Elephas maximus indicus: one gene and its partner. The protein of the gene in region 2 interacts with the protein of the main gene of each other region in a pairwise test. Links are inferred from orthologs where the notes say so. Each region holds a gene or a part of one and is shown on either strand. Other genes may lie near its edges.

Region 1 (10,164 bases), on a different chromosome or scaffold from region 2:
GTGCGACCAAACCAAAAAACCAAACCCACTGCCATTGAGTCGATTACGACTCATAGCAACCCTATAGGACAGAGTAGAACTGCCCCATAGAGTTTCCAGGGAGCACCTGGCAGATTTGAACTGCCAACCTCTTGGTTAGCAGCCGTAGCACTAAACCACTATGCCACCAGCATTTCCACTCAGTGCGATCAGACTGGGTTTATTCAGAACAGCTTTACTCAGAGGAAACAGGAAGCTGTGGCCACAAAAGAGGTTGGTCTCATCTCACTTCTCCAGCACCAGATGGTGCTGCTGCATTAGTAGGCCCCTAGGGTCGGAGCCTCCAGTTGAAGGAAACCTAGAGGGGCATTCTCTGAGCTAGGTAGGACCCTATCCCAGGCAGTTCTGGAGCCAGGGCCCTTCCAGCATGGTCTAGGGCTCCGCCCTCCCGGCCGGAGTGCAGTGTCAACCCTCCCTACTCAGTTCCGCACACCTTCAAGCGGGTCTGGGTCCTTACCCAGTGCCCTGTGGGTGATGATGATGCTTCAGCAGCTCTGAATGGCAGTCGGCTGGGGCCGGGCGGGGTTGTGGCCGGGAAGTGCTCCAGGGCCTGCCCCGCACTGTTTCCAGCCGGCAGCCCTGCCCAGAAGCGCGCCCAGCGCGTCAGGCCGCAGCAGCACCGCAGACAGAAGGCCCGCACGGCCGACATACTTGCGAGGAGGGGCGGAGTTAGATTAGAGCTCGGCCCCGCCCCCGCCTGGCTTGGCCGCGCCTGAACTACGCCCGCGCACTTGCTCAGGCACCAGGCGCAATCTGACCTCTCCAGCACGCGCACTTGCGCCCCAGCGGGCACAGAGCTCATTAGCTCCGCCGCTCTTGTAGGCGCGGGAAGCACAGAACTGCAGCCCTGCCTGTGGGTATGGGGGGAGGCGCTCATCGGGTCCTCGTCATCTCCTGCTGAGTCACCACCTCCCAGTTCTGTTTGGATCTCTGCTAATGTCAGAGACTGCTCAAGCCCACTAGGGCCTCCTTGCTATGAGGACCCTGCCACCCACTTTTACACCCGCCCAAACCCACGGCCTCCTTCCTCGGCTGGGGTACTTTCTTCCTCTGCTCAAACTGTGCTGGCAGGCATTGGAGGGCCCGTACTGCTGCTCCCGCGCGGCGGTGTCCCCCTCCCGCACCTGGCCTGGGGCCACCTCCTCCAGGTAGGGAGAGGGAAACCAGGCCATCTGTTTGTCCTTGTTCTCCACCAGGCACCAGCCTGTGCGCCAGTGCGGCGGGGTTTCAGATCCCGAGGCCCGCTGGGATCAGGGGCAGAGGGCAGCCCAGACTCCTCCCCAGCCCTACCCGAGGGTTGTCGCAGTAGCACATCCAGGGCCTCCCGGGCCTGCACATGGAAGGGTTGGCCCCGTGTGTCCTGGGTGCAGTAGGCAGTGCAGTCTCTGGTCCTCCAGGCTGCGGATGTCAAGCCTGCCCACAGGGTCCGGCAGAGGCTCCTTCCGGGCGGTCGGAATCACCAGGCTGAGGAGGATTGCAGGTGATAGGTGGGAATGGACCCACCATCCCCACCTCTCACAAATCTGCCCAATCTCCCAGTCTTTGCGTGACCCCTCCTACCCATACACCCTGTGCTTCCCCATCCTCCAAATGCCTCTGTGGCTGGGAGTTGGGGTAGGTCAGGCACCTGCCGGGTGGCAGCGTGGGCTACAGGTCCAGGATTTGCGGCGCGAAGAAGCTGTTGAGCGCCAGGCGCCGGGACACGCTTTCTACCGCCATCAGCAGCATCTGGACATAAGCCTCTAGGAGCCGGAGGCAAGCCAGCCCGCGGCCCGTGCGTCCCCCGCGCGCCAACAGCGGCACGTGTGGGAGCAAGACAGGAGTTGAATGTGGGACCCCGTCTCGGGGTCCCTCACCCATGTCCCAACCCCCCCGGCCTGACCAGGAAGCGCGGGGAGAATGAGGTTGGATCTGCGCAGCAGGCCCGCCTCCATCTGGAAGGCCTCTTGAAGGGTCTTCCGCGGCAAAAAGCCGGCGGATAGGTCTCCGAGAGCTCAGGGGTCCTCCGCGACGGTGGGGCCGAGTCGGGACTGTAGGGGTTGGAAGCTGCGGGGCACAGGAGAGCCCGTAGGCGGGGGTCACTCGGGAGTCATGCATTGGAGGCAGTTCGGGGACTCGGGGGTCGCCCCAGGGTCACTCACGTGGAGCTTTCTGAACTCTTCGCGACGCCTGAGCACGAAAGTGTCACCGCCTGTCCTACCAGCGCACGGAGAACTTCTGAGGGAAAAAAAGTTGGGGATCCTCGCAGGGGCGGGGCCAGGGACTACACCTTCCCCTTTGGGGCTGCCAGTGACCCCATGGAGTACCTGGAGTCTCCTGGTCTGCACCAGGGCGTAGACGCGCACACACACCACGTATCGGGGGCCTGCCATGGCTGAGTGGCTGAGGCTCAGTGGTCCCTGCCTCCTCCCTGCCGGCTGGGGGCTCCCAGGAACAGGCAGGGCTGGCCAAAATTCCCTGACAAGGCCCGAAGTTGGCCAGGCTTGTCACTTGGGGAGGTGTTCAGCTGTGGGTCCCTCGCAGGCTCCCCCCACTGCCCCCTAACTCTAAGATATGGGGGGCAGGAGCACAGGGCTGGGAGGCCCAAGGCAGAGGCCCTGGAGGTATGCACGACTTTGTGTCCTGAGGAAGGGGCGGTGGAGGGACTGGAACTGTGGGTGAGGCCCTTCTGTCCCAGTCTGGCAGTGGAAGGAGAGGGAAGGGCTGGCAGTCCCCACATCAAAGTGCTGCCTGGCCCAAGCTTTCTCTCCTCTAGTGCAGGGCTGGGGCCAGGAGGGCTTCCTGTAGGTGGACCCCTAGGCTCTGTCTTTGTACGTGCCTGTGGAGCTGTCTGCAGTTGCATCGGGAATATCCCTACCCAGTGCTAGGGGCTTTAGAGTCCTTTGTCTCTTTTAATGCTAAGAGAACAGTTCTCTTAATGCCCCCAAGCCACAGATGAGGAAATTCATGTTAAACTGATAATTAATGTGAGTTTTTCTGTACATGTGCACATGGGGGGTGGACCCCCACAGGCTCACCCTAAGTTTACCACATGGTAAAGAGACTTGGGCCAGAAGGAAAAGGGGGAGGTGGCAGGCAGCCAGGCTTGTTCAAGGAGCAGCCTCTAAATTCATAGTTTGTCACAATTTACTGCAAAGGAAAATCCCACCCTTAGCCTTTGAGGGCAGAAGTGAGCATTCCCCCACCAGCCTGGGCAGTGGGGCGGGGAGGCTGTGGAAGCCCTGGGCAGAGGCTTGCCTGGGTGCCCACCACTTATAGGGGAAGTGCCCCACCTTCTTATAGAGGAGACTTCCGGAGCCCCATCCAACCCACAGGAAGAGCAGTGATTCTTCCTGGAACTGGGGACCCAGCTTTCTCAGGAGTCTCTGTTCCCTAGACATTTCTCCAGGAATTTGCCCTGGCCTCATCATTTTCTTTTTTCATCAAAAGGCCTTTGTGTGTATGTGTGTCTGTCTGGCCAGAGGACCCCCCCCCCCCGGAGCCCTCACACCTGCCCTGGTCTCCACCCAGGTGATGAGCACCTGCTGACACAGGTCTGAATCAAAGCTTGATTTCAACTCAGCTATCACCCTCCATCCATCCTCAGGAGACCATGCTGAGGGTCCAGAGCCTGCTTCTCTGGAAGAGAGAAGAGAGAAGCCAGGGAAAGGTGAGGGCTCACTCGTAGCCAGCAATCTAGGGGAATGCTATGGCCCCTCCTGATCACAATGCCCAACCCCATCAACCCTGGATCCTCCCCACTCCCTTCCTCTCCACAACCACTACCCACCACAGCTCCTCACTGCCAATGCTGTCCCATAAAACCCTCTCCCCATATGACCTTTGCAAACAGAAAACAGATTATGTCCACTGGTTCTTCCCAGAACCATCCAGCACCTTCCCAACACCCTTAAATTCCCAGTCCCACAGAGGCCAAGGTCCTGTGTGACAGCCCCTGCCCACTCCTGGACCTCCCTTCTGGTCACCATCACCAGCATCCTGCTACCTCGGGCCCTGGGCCTTGACTGCCCTCCTCAGGCATTATTCATCACCCTTCAGGTCTCTACTGAAGGGTCACCTCCTCAGTGGCTTCCTGAATTTACCATGCCCTGTACTGACTCGACAGCACTGGGTTTGGTACATGCCCCTACCCACTGTTTGTAAGTGAATATTTATTTGTGTGCTTCTGTGTTGGTTGTTTCTGTCTTGACCATTGGACTATGAGCTGAGGCCTTCAAGGGTGGAGCCTTGTTCCTGTTCTGTCCAGCACCTGGAACAGTCCTTGGAACAAAGAAGACCGGCACCAATATGTGCAGAATGAATGAATGACCATAAGGAAGCTGAAGTAGGCTTGAGTCCGTTCCTCGGGAGGGTTTAACCCCTTATCCAAGCTGTAGGGTCCGAGGAGGCACTGCCCTCTGGAGCAGATGGGTGCGCGCAGCAGCCGAGACGCGCACTACCTTTTTGGCCGTTAGGGCCCCGCCCCGCGTTGCCAAGCGCCCGTTGCCAGGTGCCGGGGTATTGCGCCGGTGGGCGCACCACCAGTCTCAGGAAAGGCACAGAGCCCGGCTATGGGCACCCGGGACAGTCCGAGTGCAGCGATGGGGTCTTCGCGGGCCTCCACCTGGACTTCGCCTGCGCCTCAGCCCGAGCCCAGCGCGCCGCGCCGCAGCTTCCACACCACACTGGTCTTTTACTGGAGGAAGCGGGAGCGCCGCTCCGCGCAACGGAAGCCGGGCCCGGGACGCGGACGCAGGCCGAGGGTCGCGGGCAGGGTGCTGGCCTCCCGCCCCGCCGCCGCCGCAGGGGCCCGGACCCCCGTCCGGGAGGCGGCCTCCAGCCCCGCCCCCAGCCCCAGCCCCAGCCCCAGCCCCAGCCCAAACCCAGCCGCCACGCCCGCAGCGCGCGTCCCAGGCTCATGCGGCGGCGCGCTGACCTGGAGGCCAACCTGGAGGCCGCTCTGGAGGCCGAGCTGGCCCGGCAGCCCTTGCGCGAGCAAGATGGCGGCGCCCGGTGAGCGGGGGCGGTTCGGCTGCGGGGGACTTTTCTCTTTCCTGCCCGGCGGCGCGCGCTCCGAGGTGGTGGACGACCTGGCGACCGACGCGCGGGGCCGGGGCCGGGGCGCGGGGCGCAGAGATGCCGCCGCCCCCGCCCCGACGCCAGCTCTAGCGCAGATCCCCGAGCCGCAGGAGGACGCCTCCCGGAGGCGGCCCTGCCGGGCCTGCGTGGATTTCAAGACTTGGATGCGGACGCAGCGAAAGGTGCACGTGCCCAGGGGCGCCACCTCCCGGCCGAGGCCTGTGAGCCCCGTCCGACCCTCCAGCCCCCACCCGCACACCCCCCTCGTCCCCTGCCTCCTGAGCCCCCTCACCTTATTCTCAGGTGCCCCTGGGAGACGCCCCAATAGGCCGAGGCCGAGCGGTCCGATAGGCCTCATTCCTGACTTTTGCCTATCCGCTATGCCTAACTTTGACCCCCTCAAGGTAGGCCTGGCCTTGTCTGTCTCAGCCTCTCATGGGCTGAATCGGCTGCTGAACTGCTGTCTGGAGAGAGTGGGCCTCCGAGTGGGGCAGGAAAAGGTGAGGTTTGCGCTCTTTTGATTGAGGAGATTGAACTGACCCTTGGTCTACTTTTTTCTGCAGCAGGAGAGCAAGTTTAGGGAGGATTGCCCTCAAGATCGGGAGGAACTGGGCCGCCACAGCTGGGCTGTCCTCCACACCCTGGCTGCCTACTACCCCGACCTGCCCACTCCGGAACAGCAGCAAGACATGGCCCAGTTCATACACTTATTTTCCAAGTTTTACCCGTGCGAGGAGTGTGCCGAAGACATAAGGAAGAGGTGAGTTGTGTGTGCACAGGTGAGAGCATTGAACCGAGAGGCCTGAGTTGGAGGTGATGTCATAGGGGAGAACCTAGAAATACGTGGAGGAGCAGCAGAGGGTGGCGAAGGAGCTGGGAGCTCAGCAGAGTGGGGATTAGGTTCTTGGGCCATCTCTTTTCCCCCTCAGAGGCCAAACTGCCTGGGTCTGCTGGAAGATACTTCCTGTTGTACCACAAGGCTCTCAGGAGAGCCTTCTCAATGCAGTCTCTCACTTAACCACAATGACGACTGCACTCTGCCTGACTTCTGGAGCAGGGCTGCTGGCTTTCAGACCTTGGGAACCCACTGCTTTTGCTCCTAGGCTTTGGTGTGTGGCCCACCCAGGTGTCCTCTCCCACACCTCTGGCAGGGCCTTCTCAGAGCTTCCACGTGTGGGGTGGGACAGCCCTGGCTGTCTGAAGCCTGCGCAACAGAGCAAAGTCTCTTGCTGAGGTGAGGCAGCAGGGCCTCGGGTGCCAAGAACTGCCTGGTTTTCAATTATACCTGCTGTGTCTGGCTCATGAGGCCAGGGAGGCTGGGGTGAGGCTTCCAGGTTCTTAGGAGATTGTAATGTTGCCTGCTATGCTCTTTAATGTCTTGCCTGGGGCTTGCATTAGGTTTGCTAAGGGCCATGGGTGGGGTTTTTGGTAGCGGTGTTTTTTCTAGTTTTATTGTGGTTAAATAGGTATAACATGAAATTTGTCGTTTTAATTATTTTGTAAGTGTACAATTTGCCATGTTCTATGACCATCACAGCTGTCCATTTCCAAGTTTTCATCCCCCAAACGAAAGTCTGCACCCTTTCAGCAGTGATTTCCTATTTTCCTCCGTCCAGCATCTAACCCAAAAAACCAAACCTATCGCTGTCCAGTCAATTCTGACTCATATCAACCCTATAGGACAGTAGAACTGACCTATAGGGTTTCCACGGAGTGTTTGCTGGACCCAAACTGCTGACGTTTTAGATAGCAGATGTAGCTCTTAACCACTACGCCACCAGTAACTTTTAATCTGCTTTCTGTTTCTGAATGCGTTTGTTCTAGATGGTTCGTATAAGTGGTATCATACACTATTGGACCCTGGGCAAGTTTTTGAGCAGACTGGGAGCCCACCAAGGCCCAGGGCTCTGCAGGGTCAGCCTTCTCCTGGGAATTTGCTGTCCCTTCCTTAGGGGTTTCTTCTTGGTGTAGTTCTCAGCAGCCTTCTTCCCTCAGGAGCAGACTAGGTGCTGGCTGGGGGCAGGGGTAGGGCCAGCTGCCCCCTCCATCATCTCTGTGCTCTGCTCTTAGGATATGCCAGAACCAGCCGGACACGCGCACTCGGGCACACTTCACCCAGTGGCTGTGCCACCTGCACAACGAGGTGAACCACAAGCTGGGCAAGCCAGACTTCGACTGCTCACAGGTGGATGAGCGCTGGCGCGATGGCTGGAAGGACGGCTCCTGTGACTAGTGGGCGGGTGTAGGAGCCAGCTGGCCACTGCAGTGGGTGGAGCGTTCATTAAAGTGCATCAGAGCCAGAGCCTGTCCCATCTCAGTTGGGTGGCCCCGGGACGCTACCCACGGGGCCTGCCCTCTCAGGTCGGGAGGTGCCCGCGGCAGACACCCCCATGGCCTTCCCTCAGCTGAGGGCCCGCAGGGGTGGGAGCTGCAGGTGAGTGAGGCAGGAGTGGCCTGGGCTGCCCCTGTGCCAGATGGGATGTGGCCTTCTGCCCAGAAATGGAAGGGGCAGCCAGGAGACAGGCCTGGCTGGGCTTCCACGCGTCCACCCCACAAGGCCAGCCTGCTGCCTCGTAACCGTGTAGCCAGTGACTCTACAATGTTCTGGCCAAAGCATTTATGTCCTGTGTGCTTCAGGGAGGTGGCCTGGGATAGCTCTCCACCCTGCTCAGCTTCCTGCAGGGAGAGCTCAGCAGGATATTTCTGGAGACCTACACACAGCATTGTCCGTGGCTGGCCAGGATTGCCAGCAGGGGCCGGCTGCCTCTGAGGTTGAGACCAAAATAAAATGTTGTGGAACTGACTGAGGACCGGGCTGCCTGTGTTGTTTGCAGGGTTCGGGGCCTGCCCTCTTCCCTCTGTGTTCAGCGGCTGCCTCCCGTCAGAGTGCTGGCTGCCTGTGAGGAGGGGGAGTCCTGAGGCCTGAGTGGGCCTGGCACACTCCAGGAACGGCAAGGAGGCTGCGTAGTTGGAGTGGGGATGGGCGGGGAGAACAGGTGACAGGAGAGGCCTTTCCATTCCAGCAGGGTCTTGGTTTACTCCCAGCCTGACAGGAAGCTCTTGGAGGGCTTGGCAAAGAGGAGTGGTGGGACCTGACTTTTGAAAGCACCTGGCTACTTCACTGAAGCAGACAAGAGGGTGTAAGCTAGGAGGTTAGAGGAGAGCTGAAAGGGAGGCTGCCCTGGGGCTAGAGTGGTACCTGTCAGAAATGGCCCAGTGCTGGATATTTTCGAAGGTAGAGCCACGAGAATTCAGGGGTGAGAAAGGAGCTAAAGGGGACTCCAGGGGCTTGGATCAAAGCAACATCTGTGGGGTGGAGCAGGCTTGGGGGGTGACCGAGACCCTGCTCTGGGCCTGCCAAGATCTGCTCAGCCCCACCCCACCCACTCTCAGGTCTCAGCTCCCAGCAACAACCTGTGCCCCCTGTTCTGTGGTCATAAAGTCCTGGCCACTTCCACCCCAAAGTGTCTTGGCCGCCCACTGGGCAAGGGCCCATCTCCATCAGGCCTTGTGTGGAGGGAGCTGAGGGGAGCTGCTCAGGCCCCTGGAAGGGAGGGTGCCATACATGGAATTGTGCACCCCAAAAATATGTGTTTAGGCCATGATTCCCAGTATTGTGTGGTGGTTTTTCATTTTATGATTGATGTAATTTTCCTTTGAGTTGTAAATTCTAATCTCTGCCTGTAGTTAATGAGGCAAAATTGTTGTGGTGGTTGTTAGGTGCCATCGAGTCAGTTCTGACTCATAGTGACCTTAGGCACAACAGAACGAAACACTACCTGGTCCTGAGCCATCCTTATAATTGTTGTTATGCTTGAGCTTATTGTTGCAGCCACTGTGTCAATCCACCTCGTTGACGGTCTTCCTCTTTTCCGCTGACTCTGTACTCTGCCAAGCATGATGTCCTTCTCCAGGGACCAATCCCTCCTGACAATATGTCCAAAGTATGTAAGACACAGTCTCGCCATCCTTGCTTCTAAGGAGCATTCTGGTTGTACTTCTTCTAAGACAGATTTGTTCGTTCTTTTGGCAGTCCATGCTGTATTAAATATTCTTCACCAACACCACAATTCAAAGGAGTCAATTCTTCTTCGGTCTTTCTCATTCATTGTCCAGCTTTCACATGCATATGATGCGATTGAAAATACCATGGCTCAGGCCAGGCGCACCTTAGTCCTCAAGGTGACATCTTTGCTCTTCAAGACTTTAGAGAGGGCTTTTGCAGCAGATTTACCCAGTGCAACGCGTCTTTTGATTTGTTGACTGCTGCTTCTATGGCTGTTGATTGTGGATCCAAGTTAAATGAAACCCTTGACAACTTCAATCTTTTCTCTGTTTATCATGATGTTGCTCATTGGTCCAGTTATGAGGATTTTTTTTTTTTTTTTTTTACATTGAGGTGCAATCCATACTGAAAGCTGTGGTCTTTAATCTTCATTAGTAGGCGCTTCAAGTTCTCTTCACTTTCAGCAAGCAAGGTTGTGTCATCTGCATAACGTAGGTTGTTAATGAGTCTTCCTCCAATCCTGATGCCCTGTTCTTCTTCATATAGTCCAGCTTCTTGTATTATTTGCTTAGCATACAGATTGAACAGGTATGGTGAAAGAATACAATCCTGATGCACACCTTTCCTGACTTTAAACCAATCAGTACTCTCTTGTTCTGTCTGAACAACTGCCTCTTGATCTATGTAAAGGCTCCTCATAAGGACAATTAACTGTTGTAGAATTCCCATTCTTCGCAACATTATTCATAATTTTTTATGATCCACACAGTCGAAGGCCTTTGCATAGTCAACAAAACACAGGTAAACATCCTTCTGGGATTCTTTGCTTTCAGCCAGGATCCATCTGACATCAGCAACGATATCCCTGGTTCTGTGTCCTCTTCTGAAACCAGCCTGAATTTCTGGCAGTTCCCTGTCGGTGTACTGCTGCAGCCGTTTTTTAATGATCTGCAGCAGAATTTTGCTTGCATGTGATACCAATGATATTGTTGTATAATTTCCACATTGGGTTGGATCACCTTTCTTGGGAATAGGCATAAATACGGATCTCTTCCAGTCAG
Region 2 (10,671 bases):
TCCCTTACTTATTTCTAGATTTCTCTGGCAGCTTTGTCTAATCCCCATTCCTTTAGGTATAATCTCAGCCATCCAGTGCTCCTCATTCTTAAAAAACGTTTCTTTCAGGATCCCTCAGCCTCATCTTCTGTACCCCACTTATCTTCTTGCTCTTCCCTCACACAATTTCCTTATTCCCTCCCTCATTCTTATGCCTTTTTTTTTTAACTTTCTTTTTCACGCTTCCCCATTCCTCCATGATCAGGACTTTTTACAAACTCCAGATGGAAGAAGACCATCTGGAAAAAAGAGTATGAAGAAAGAGAAAAGTGAGCAAAAGGAAGATGGGAAAACAAAGAAAAAAAAGGAATGCTAAAGAAAAAAATATATGGGTTGGGGATAAAGACGGAAAAGAAAAGAAGACAATGGAGATGTGGAAAGTGAAATAAATGGCAAGATCGGGAGAAAAGGAAGACTGCTTTCTGTGTGCAGGCAATACACTACAGTGATTCACTTGATTGCCTCAAATACCCAGTGGCAAAAGTACTATCATTTCCATTTTGTTGTTGTGTGCGGTCGAGTGGATTCTGAGTCATGGTGACCCTATAGGACAGAGTCCAACTGTCCCACTTTACAGATAAGGAAACTGTACCAGAAAAGTTAAGTGACTTGTTCAAGGTCACATAGTTAGTGGTAAAGGCAGGATTTGAAACCAGATTTCCCTGACTCTGAGAGAGGACAAAAGACAGGAGAGGGTTAGAAAAGGGTTTAGAAGACATAGAAACAAAGGAAGGGACTAGACAGAAGAAGAAAGAATGGAACAATGGAAAAGAAAGAAGATTGAGAGTTGAGGCCCTCTCGTCCTAGGGTCTCACCGTCGATCCAGGGTTCGGTAACACTGGCGTATCCAGCTCAGAGGTGGAACTTGGGCCCTACTTGTGCCTCCACTCAAGTGAACAAGTAGATAATTTTCAGCTACTAGCACCTCCAGAGTTCCCACTATATACCTGGATGGGATGAAATTGCCAGGGAAAGCGTGTGTTTGGGATTGTGGGGAGTGAAAGGGACTGATTATTGTAAACTCTGTAATTGGCTCAACTGATCTTGGAAGGCGATCATTTTTTTTGCTTTTCCCTCCCTAATACCCTCCCTGTATCTCTTCAGGCCTTTTGCCTCACCTAAACAAGTGTTCCATGACATAGGTGTAGTTGGGGATGCTGCTTCTGGGCAGGTAACAGGAAGCAAAGAGGATGACAGCATTGAGACCATCACCATGGTAACCTGGGGAGGACAAGAGAAAAATTCATTCAGCCAACAAATACGTATTGATAGACAGTACACTTGTATAAGTCGAGGGTCTCAGGGTCCCTGGAAGTTACAAGGAAGGATTTTGAACTCAATAACTCAGTCTCTAGCCTAGGCATTTTATTCAAGAAGCCACAGTTCCTACCCCTTCCTTTATGCCAGCTATTACCTCCATGAGATAGGACTTTCTTATAGGGTTCGATGACAGTCATGTCCACTCGCTGCTCCTGCTGTCCTGTTCGAAATACCTTCCAGTGACGACCATCTTCTCCAGCCACATCCCACACACAACCCCGACCCAGCCTTTCAGCTGCCTCACTGGGTCCTGGACCCTCTGCCCGGGGCAGTTCATCTAAAAGAGAGGGATGGAAGGATCAACAAGGCAGAATTCTCTCCTTCTGTATCCTGTATATTACCCAGGTTCCTACGGTTTATTACTCCAATCTCTCATTCCTCATTTTTTCCTTGACTCTTTAGCCCTAGTTTGTCCTATCAACCCAATACCTTGCTGGATTCTCTCAGCTGTGTCTCGTTATCCCCACTTTTTCACTAGCCTGTGGCCCTGGCATGACCTTGCACTACGGCAGGTCTACGACTCTTGATAGAATCAGATTTTTTTCTAGATTCTCTATTTCTTTTTTTACATGCTTTTCCCTGGGCAAGCTCATCTATTTCCATGTCTTCAGGTATCACCAGGAAGGTGATGGCTACCACTTTTGCCACTCTAACCCAGACTTCTCTCCTAACTCCAGATCTATATTCCCAAATGCCTAGAGTAGACATCTCTGTGTCTCCCTGTAATCTCCAATTCATCAGGTCCAAAACAGAACTCATACTCATTCTCTTCCTCCTCTCTCCTATAGTTCCTATCTTGGTGAATGACCTCATTGTCCATCCAGCTGCCTGAGAGAAAAAACTGTGTGTCATCTGAGACTTTTCCCTCTTTGTCAGCCCTGAAACCAACTGGACCCCAGATCCTCTTTCATCTACGTCCACAATATTCATCATCCTTTCCACTACTGGTTTGGATTCTTAGCACTTCTCACCTGGCCTTTGTACTAGCCTCCTAACTGATCTCCCTGCCTCTAGTTTCTTCTAACTCAAAGAGCAAGCTTTCTTCTCTCCCCTACTTTTTTTTTTCTATACCCACCATTCTGCATGATCTTTTCCATAACAATAGAAAGAACTTCTATATTAAAAAAAAAAAAAAGAGTTGCATAGTATTCCATTGTATGGATACACCATAACAGCATTAATACTCTACTGATGGGCCTTTAGATTGTTTCCAATCTTTTACAGAGCCATCATATTTGATTATGTTACTCCTTTGATGAAAAATTTCAATGACTTCCCATTGCCTACAGGACAAAATCTAAACCCCTGACCGTGGTAGCAAGGGCCTCCATGATTTGACCCTGTCTTCTTATTCCAGCATTATCTTTTGTCATTCTCTCTTCACCTCCCAACCTTTCACATCTAAATAGTCATGCTTAACACTTCGAATTCCCCAACATGCCATGTTATTGCTTGAGTTGCTTCTTCTGCCTAGAATGTCTTTTCTCCAACTACCTGGTAACTTCAGCTTTCAATACTTTACTTTCTCTGTGAAGCCACTCCTGATACCTCTCAGGCAGAACCGACCGTCTCCTTTTCCATGGCTGGACTGTATCCTATACACTTGTAGATCATAACCCTTAATTGCACTTATTTGTATATATGTTTATTCCCTACTAAACAGAAAATTCTCTGAGGGTAGGGACTATCTTACTCATCTTTATAACCCCAGTCCTAGCTCCGTGAGAGCATTTAATAGTCATTCAATCAAGTTTTTCTCAATAAACAAAGGACCTTCCCTCCCCTACTGACTACTTTCACACTCGATCTATAAGCTCTACCTTTCTATCCTGAGGAAATTGATTTTGCTGGCCTTATCTCTAAGTCCTCACCTTACTAGTTCTAATTTCAGTACCGTTAAATCTATCCTGGGCTTCTTTAACACTGGCCTCTACTTCTACCAGCTTAATCCTCAGGTTTGTTTCCCACCTTCCCATTCAAACTCATGTCCACTGTCCAGCTGCTCAGAGTCTGAAGGGGTCTCCAGTTCCTCTACGTCCAGGTCAGAACTGCCACCAGGAGAAGAAGGTGCAGAATGGGTGGAAGAAGCTCCACTACCTCCAGGCCCTTCATTCAGATCCAGTTGCAACTCTAGGGCAGAAAGACGCTTACGCATGGGGCGCCGGCCACATAGAGCTAAAGTGCTGGGGTACGTACCTGGGATTGGAGAAAAAAAAACAAAAGATATGTGAGAGTTAGGGGACCCAATTAGAATTCCTGTATATGGAAGTAAAATATGGGTAAACTCTGAAAAAGAAAGACCTGACACAGGGGACATTTGGGAAAGGAGAAAGAGAACTGCAAAGGGATAAGGGTGGCATAGCTCTGCACTGGACCAGAATTAGGAACTGAAGGCCATTTCAACTTTACCTACCTGCCTGTGAGTCTCCTTTTGGGTCTTCAGGATCTTCAGAAGGGCCAGCTTCCACAGAAAGCAATCTAGAGAGGAAGATATTAAAATGGGACAAAGATACAGGCTGAAGGCATCAAGCCAGATGTCAGTTTATCAATTCTCTCTCCTCGCTTTGACTTCATCTTTTCTTTTTCCTTCCAGGCCTAATTCGCCATCCCTCCCTTAGCCCAACCTCCCTCACACTTCCTCACCCGGGGAATTCTTCATCTTGCCAGTCCTCCTTCAGCTCCAGCTCCCCAAGTCTCAGGGCAGCTCCTAGTTCTGCTGCTTCTACATTCTCCCTGGTCCTAAGATAGTCCCCCGGAAGAAAGGATTATCATGAGACAACATAGACAGTGTCTTAATGGGGCTGGGTTGTAGGTAGGGGACATTGGAATGAAGAAAGTAATTGAGGTACAGACAGCAGACAGCAGGCCTTTAAAAAAAAACCCAGATCTTTTGTCTCCTAGACAGATATTTCTCCCATTTTCACCACTTGCTGAAAGCAGATTACTCCAACTATTAGGTTTAGAAGCAGAGGAAAAATAGAATGTGAAACTAATTATATTTACTTCCATGGCAGTTGCTTGCCTCCACCTACAAAGTCAGGGTGAGAGGTGTTCAACATTACAGTTGGCTGGAACCCAGACAGACCCGCCCAGCTGTCGCTGGGCAAAGCTGGGGAAGATGGCACCTTGTCAGGCCTGCCTTTCTTCTACCGTGCTGGGGAGTGGCTAGAGGAAACCATGGCATAGGTGGCGGGGCAGAGAAGGAAGGTAGGGAGGGAAAGATTAGCTGGAAGGAGAACCTGGACCTAAACTCAGTTCTGGGTCAGCTTTCCTGATGGCCATTCTGGAAGGTACGGATTGGAAAATGGAAAATATGGGCAGGTTTATCAGACAAAATTAGAAACTTCCCTTTTTCTAACCAGGGGATTGTTCTGCAATCCCGTCACCCAGTTACTATACCGTATTGACATTTCCTACCTACAGCCACCTCCATTCCTTCTTGGCAAATTAATTCCCTCATTGTCTCCTCTCCTCTAGGAACCCTAAGATTTGACTGGGTAAAAACTGGACGTAGGAAAGCCTCTTAGGCTATTTATTCATTTCCTGTTTCCAATAAGCAAGGCAATACTTACCCAAGATCTACTGCCTTTTCTCCTGCCTCTTGTATCGTTTCCATCTTCACAAGTCTTCTGTCTCCTTTAAACACTTGGGGTTGTCGGGGAGCTGGTTGTCCCAGCTCCCCAACACTTCCGTACCCTTTTTCTCTGTCTCCACTGCTGTTTCTGTTGCTTCACAGGATGAGGGAGGTGTAGAAGGGAGGTAAACGCATCTTCAAACAGGTTTTGCCACCTTCCCTCCCAAGGAGCTGGTTTGCCCAAGAGAAACCCTGCCTCCTGTGTGGGGGCGGGTTTTGGGGAGGAGAGAGCATTTCCTAGGATGGCTAGTCTTCGTAAGGCAATTTGTTCTCCTTCCCAGATCCCTATAGGGTCGCTGAGTCAGAATCAACTCGATGGCAATGGGTTTGGTGTTTTTTTTTTTTTTTTGGATAACCTTCTGGAAGCTGCTTTTTTAAAAAAAGGGGGGCAGTAAAAACCATTTTGGCTATAAGACTATCTTAGGCCTATTTTTCAGGCATAAGCCAAATTGGGGAGTGAGAAGTATAAGAAGAGTTCTGGAAGAAGAAACAAATTAAAGGCTGAGGATGAGGGGAGATGGAAGCCTGCTGCTCCTTATTCCCAAAAGGGGTTGTCAGGAGGAAGAGGGGGTATGAGTCTTTAGGAGGCTGAAAAATTATCAGAGGGAAAGGCCTCATTACAGTGGTAAAAACAGACAATAGGACCCCAAACAGGAAAAGAATATTTAATACTTTAACAAAATGCAAAATAAAGTACCCAAGTTACAAAACATAAATTCCTTTGGTTCAGTGATTACACCACTATTTTTACCTTCCAAATGACTACAGACATCATCCCTTCAAAGTGAACTCAGACTGTCCCCCTCACAGTAGAAGATGTCATGCCAAAACCATCCGATACACTAATGTTCAGTGAAGTTGTTGGCAACCTACATGGACTAGAGCTGTGGGGTAAGACAAGGAGGGATGACTTGGTCTAAAGAAAAAAGGGAGACTTTACGCATGCAGAACAAATCAGTGGGAGAGAGCTCTTTGTTGGGTCGCTATGGTGAGTCATAATTCTGAACATGCTACATGAGGCCAAGTCCCTTGGTATGATCACACATAAATACACACAACTCAGTGACCCTGGCCATTCCCAGAGAAGACAGAAGAAAAATACAGAGACGCAGAAGAAAGAAAAGATGGCAGCAAGAGGCAGATCACAGAATACCAGAGAACATCTAATCCAAACCTTTAATTTACAGATGGGCAAAGTCAGATCCGGAGACGTGAAGTGTCTTGCCAAAAGACACACAGTCATGGCAGTCAGTATTAGAATCCAGCTACTCCATGCTGTCTTTTAATATGAGCAAGAAGTGAAGAGAAAGAGATGGACAAGAAAGTGGTAGACCTGCTAAGGCAGGGAACAGAGCCAGGGCTCTCATTCCAGTTCTGTTGTCTTTTGGGAAGAATGCCTATGAGATCTAATGGCCTTCCTGGGTGCCTGCTGGACTCTCAAGAACCAGGGGTCTTCAGGGTTCCTGTGGCTCTGGAACAGAATAAGCTAAAGAACCTGAGAGTCAGGCCACCTGATTAGGATGGAAGATAATGGCCTCCAATCTGCTACCAAACAAGATCTAGAAGAGTCACAGCAAGGTCAGAAATGGAAATTCAGCCATCTCTGAATCAAACACCATTAACTAACTGAGGGCAGAAAGAAGAGTCATGGAATGGGAAATCTGCTAAAGGCTAAAAACTGGAGCAAGAGTCTCATTCTACTTTCTATCTAGATTCAAGTAGGTATTCAATAAATATTTGAATGAGTACACAAATAAATGAATAAAATGGAGATAATCAATGATTGTACGGTTCTATATGACATTAGTTCTGTTCAAGATCCTTGCTGAGGCCACACTGGGGGTACACATTCTTTTTGTCCCATTCTGTTGGCACTGTATGTGTATTGCATTGTGCCCCTGGGTAATGAAATAGAGAAAAGTCAGTGCAGATTTAAAGAATAAAATTAAATAATACCTAAATAATAACATCTGTTTGATTGGTAGAGATTGAGGGGAAGGTAGAAAGCCGTTTTTAAAGCAGCTGCTTTCTTTTACTTCTTCCTCCTCCCGGCTTTTATGAGAACAATACACCAGATCCTGGAGCAATGAAGACAGAGTTGCTGAAATCTCCAAACATCTCAAAACATGCATTTGAAGTGGGTTAAGAAACTTTCCCATTCTCCCCTCCCCTCCCAACAGTCAATTCTTTGATAGGGAGGCGGTGGTCGACCGTGACAGCGAGATCTGGCTGCATTTCTCAAAGATGGCCTCAGCTGAGAGCTTAGGCAGTCCCTGATCCAGAGGGCACTCATCCACCAAACTGTTCATGGGCGTTGGGGGCAATGGAGGGTCTTCCTCATCTTGACTCACTCCAGGAATCAGGGAGTTACCTGCCCTGTTCATTTCCTTGTCCACCTGCTCCCTGGACACACCCACTATTTCAGGTGGCCCAGCAGGGATCTGCATGGAGTCCAAATATGCTGACAGGGCTTCCTGGAGCAGAGGCAGGAGCTTCTTTCGGGAGACCTGGGTGTTGCCTTGAAGATAGGCTTGGAGGTTAGGATGGGTGCTTGGGATAGGAGTTAACTTCAGGGATGGAGCATCGGAGCGTTCCAGGACTCCGCAGATCTGAAAAAGAAACAAGAACAGGGGAGTGATACTTAAGGTTGAGTAGCAAAGAGCCAAGGCTTCTAAATTAGAGGCTTCCCTAACAGAAGAGAAAACCTTTTTTTGGTTAAGTCATCCAGAGTTCAGTTTTATTTCTCACAACAAAAGGAACCTCAGCTAATATACACAGTATTTTCGAAGCAGAAGAAACATTTGAGACCACATATTTCATTTTATAAACGAGGAACCCAAAGCTCAGAAATACTAAGAGTATTGTGCAAAATCACGCAGATAATAGCAGAGTCTGAACCAGAGCCCAGGTCCCCAGTTCCTAGCATAGAGTTGCTTCCAAGTATATTCTTGTACTCAAAAACCTGAACCCTAACTTTAGCTGGGAAAGAACTAGCATCTATCTTGTGGTCAGGGAAAGGGCAGAGGCAAAAAGAGTGAATAAACAAAGTGGGAGCAGGAGATACATAATATTGAGAAGTACCCAGGCATGGTGTCAAGTCTGGCTGCTTACAAGTATTATCTCATTTAACCCTCGTAACAACCTTCTAAGATTGGTATTACTACTACCCCTATTTACAGGTGGAGAAACTGAGGCTTAGAGAGGTTAAGTTACTTGCCTAAGATAATAGTTAGTATGAAACAAAGCTGAAGACTCGATCCCAGGTCTGTCACCGAAGCCTGTGTTCTGAATCACTATATATATATATATTTTTTTTTAATAATTTTTATTGTGCTTTAAGTGAAAGTTTACAAATCAAGTCAGTCTCTCACATATAAATTTATATACACCTTACTACATACTCCCACTTACTCTCCCCCTAATGTGTCAGCCCCATCCCTCCTTCTGGTCTTTCCTTTTGTGACCGTTTTGCCAGTTTCTAACCCTCTCTACCCTCCCATCTCCCCTCCAGACAGGAGATGCCAACATAGTCTCAAGTGTCCACCTGATGCAAGTAGCTCACTCCTCATCAGCATCTCTTTCCAACCCACTGTTCAGTCCAATCCATGTCTGATGAGTTGGCTTCAGGAATGGTTCCTGTCCTGGGCCAACAGAAGGTTTGAGGTTCATGACCTCCAGGATTCTTCTAGTCTTAGTCAGACCATTAAGTCTGGTCTTTAATAAGAATTTGGGGTCTGCATCCTACTGTTCTTCTGCTCCCTCAGGGGTTCTCTGTTGTGCTCCCTGTCAGGGCAGTCATCGTTTGTGGCCGGGCACCATCTAGTTCTTCTGGTCTCAGGCTGATGCAGTCTCTGGTTCATGTAGCCCTTTCTGTCTCTTGGGCTCATAATTACCTTGTGACCTTGGTGTTCTTCATTCTCCTTTGATCCAAGCTAAATCACTATATTATACTACCCCTAACATATCATGCTTGGCTGCTAACCAAAATGTTGGTGGTTCGTGTCCACCCAGAGGTGCCCTGGAAGAAAGGCCTGATGATCTACGTCTGAAAAAGCAGCCATTGAAAATCCCGTGGAGCACAGTTCTACTCTGACACACATGGGGTGCCATAAGTCAGAATCAACTTGATGGTAACTGTTTTTTTTTTTTTTAACTGGAAAATCAGAGGAAGAGCGGAGATGGCGAGGTAGACCATAAAAAAGGGCCTCATGTTTCCCAGCACAAAGGCAGCCTGGGCGGTGGCAGAGTTCTCAGGCAGCCACACAGCTTCAGAGGAGCAGCACAGAGGGATGAGATTCAGGAAGGCTGGGAGAAGCACTTCTTGTGTCAAAGCACCCCTTCCTTCATGATATTATTAGGAATAGCCACCATTTACCAGGTGCTTCCTTTGTGCCTAGCAATATACTTTACATATAGTATGTTTAATTAGCGCATCAGACCAATGAGGTAGGTACTGTTATGCAATTTATAGATGAGGAAATAGACTCAGAGGTTAACTGACTTGTCTTAGCCCAAAGAGCTAGTTAAGTGGCAGAAAATAAGTCTGGGACAGAAAAGCAAGTCTATCTGACTTTCCACAACGCCAAACTACCTTCCACAGAATGAAATTACATTTGCTTCCTGAAAGAAAAGAGAAGTGGGAGAGGGCAGACATACCTTTTGTGGGTGAAAAAGTTTACCTGGCGGTGTTCAGTAACCTTCACACAGCCCAAGCAAATCAGCCCCTGGACTGCCTTAAGTCCATTTTAAAATTCTTCCCTGAGTTAATCAGTAACCAAGAGAGAAGCAGAAGGGAGAAGAGATGGGGAAAGGTGGCCAAATGGAAGGTTCGGAAAGAAAACATACCTCTACAAGATGGCTTCTCTACAGAGTTCTCACTCTACAGAGCAATCATGAATCCCTGAATGCTAAGGAGTAGAAAAGGTCTCTCTTGTGTTTCCAGTCTTTAAGGCAGTACAGTAGGAAGAAAAGAACTCGTTTTCAGGGGTGAGGAATTAATGAAAAATCAAGTTCTAACTACAGATTTATAACAGTTCCTTCTGAGTAGGAATTATGTCTCTAATTCTCTTTGGAATCCCCCTTTCTCAACAACAGTCTGATTAAGGCGATTCACACATATATATATATATACATTTTTTTTTTGACTGGAAAAAAGGATGAGAGGAATTCTGGAAATGAGCCAAGGGACCCCTGTATAAATCAAAGAATGAAGGGGAGGTCCTTACAGAACAGAGTCTTGCTTAGACGCAGGGCTCTGCAGGGCCTTCAGGTTGGAGCAGGGATGGAGACTCACCGTCATTCGCAGCGCCACGTGGGGACAGAAAATAGCCAACTGCCGCACTGGCTCGTTGTTCATGTTGAAAAAGATAGTCATGGCGACCAGGACATCATAGCTGTGAGCCTGGCAGAAGGCATGGAGATCTGCAATGAGGCCAGACCTCTGCAGAAAGGCCTGAAAGACAGGAAATAACGAGAGGATGAAGGCTGCAGCTGGACCCTCCTTGTCACCATCAACTAAAAAATCTCTATGAAGGACTTGTGCTCCATAAAAAAACATGTCTAGTATTTACTTTGCGGTATCTGTGTACTGGGAGGCAATGTGGTAGAATGGGGAGAACAAATCCTTTGGGTTTAGGCAGAATTGGTGTAAAACCAGCTCCATTACCTACTTAACTACA

The links. The genes of interacting proteins can lie anywhere in the genome.
Region 1: the proteins of BNIPL (region 2) and GFER interact in a two-hybrid assay, tested with the Homo sapiens proteins (2 studies listed by BioGRID and IntAct). The link is inferred for Elephas maximus indicus from reciprocal best matches to the Homo sapiens genes BNIPL and GFER.

The regions. Positions count from the first base shown.
Region 1 is NC_064830.1:59,084,856-59,095,019, forward strand, and holds GFER (FAD-linked sulfhydryl oxidase ALR), read left to right. Parts: upstream 1-4,917; 5' UTR 4,918-5,018; coding exon 5,019-5,279; intron 5,280-5,660; coding exon 5,661-5,857; intron 5,858-7,167; coding exon 7,168-7,330; 3' UTR 7,331-9,486; downstream 9,487-10,164.
Region 2 is NC_064821.1:185,095,213-185,105,883, reverse strand, and holds the start of BNIPL (bcl-2/adenovirus E1B 19 kDa-interacting protein 2-like protein), read right to left. Parts: upstream 4,117-10,671; 5' UTR 4,003-4,116; intron 3,838-4,002; 5' UTR 3,773-3,837; intron 3,556-3,772; 5' UTR 3,515-3,555; coding exon 3,328-3,514; intron 1,637-3,327; coding exon 1,454-1,636; intron 1,261-1,453; coding exon 1,158-1,260; intron 987-1,157; coding exon 855-986; intron 1-854. Other genes in the region: exopolyphosphatase PRUNE1, read right to left, coding at 7,174-7,602, 10,287-10,445. UniProt on the Homo sapiens protein: May be a bridge molecule between BCL2 and ARHGAP1/CDC42 in promoting cell death.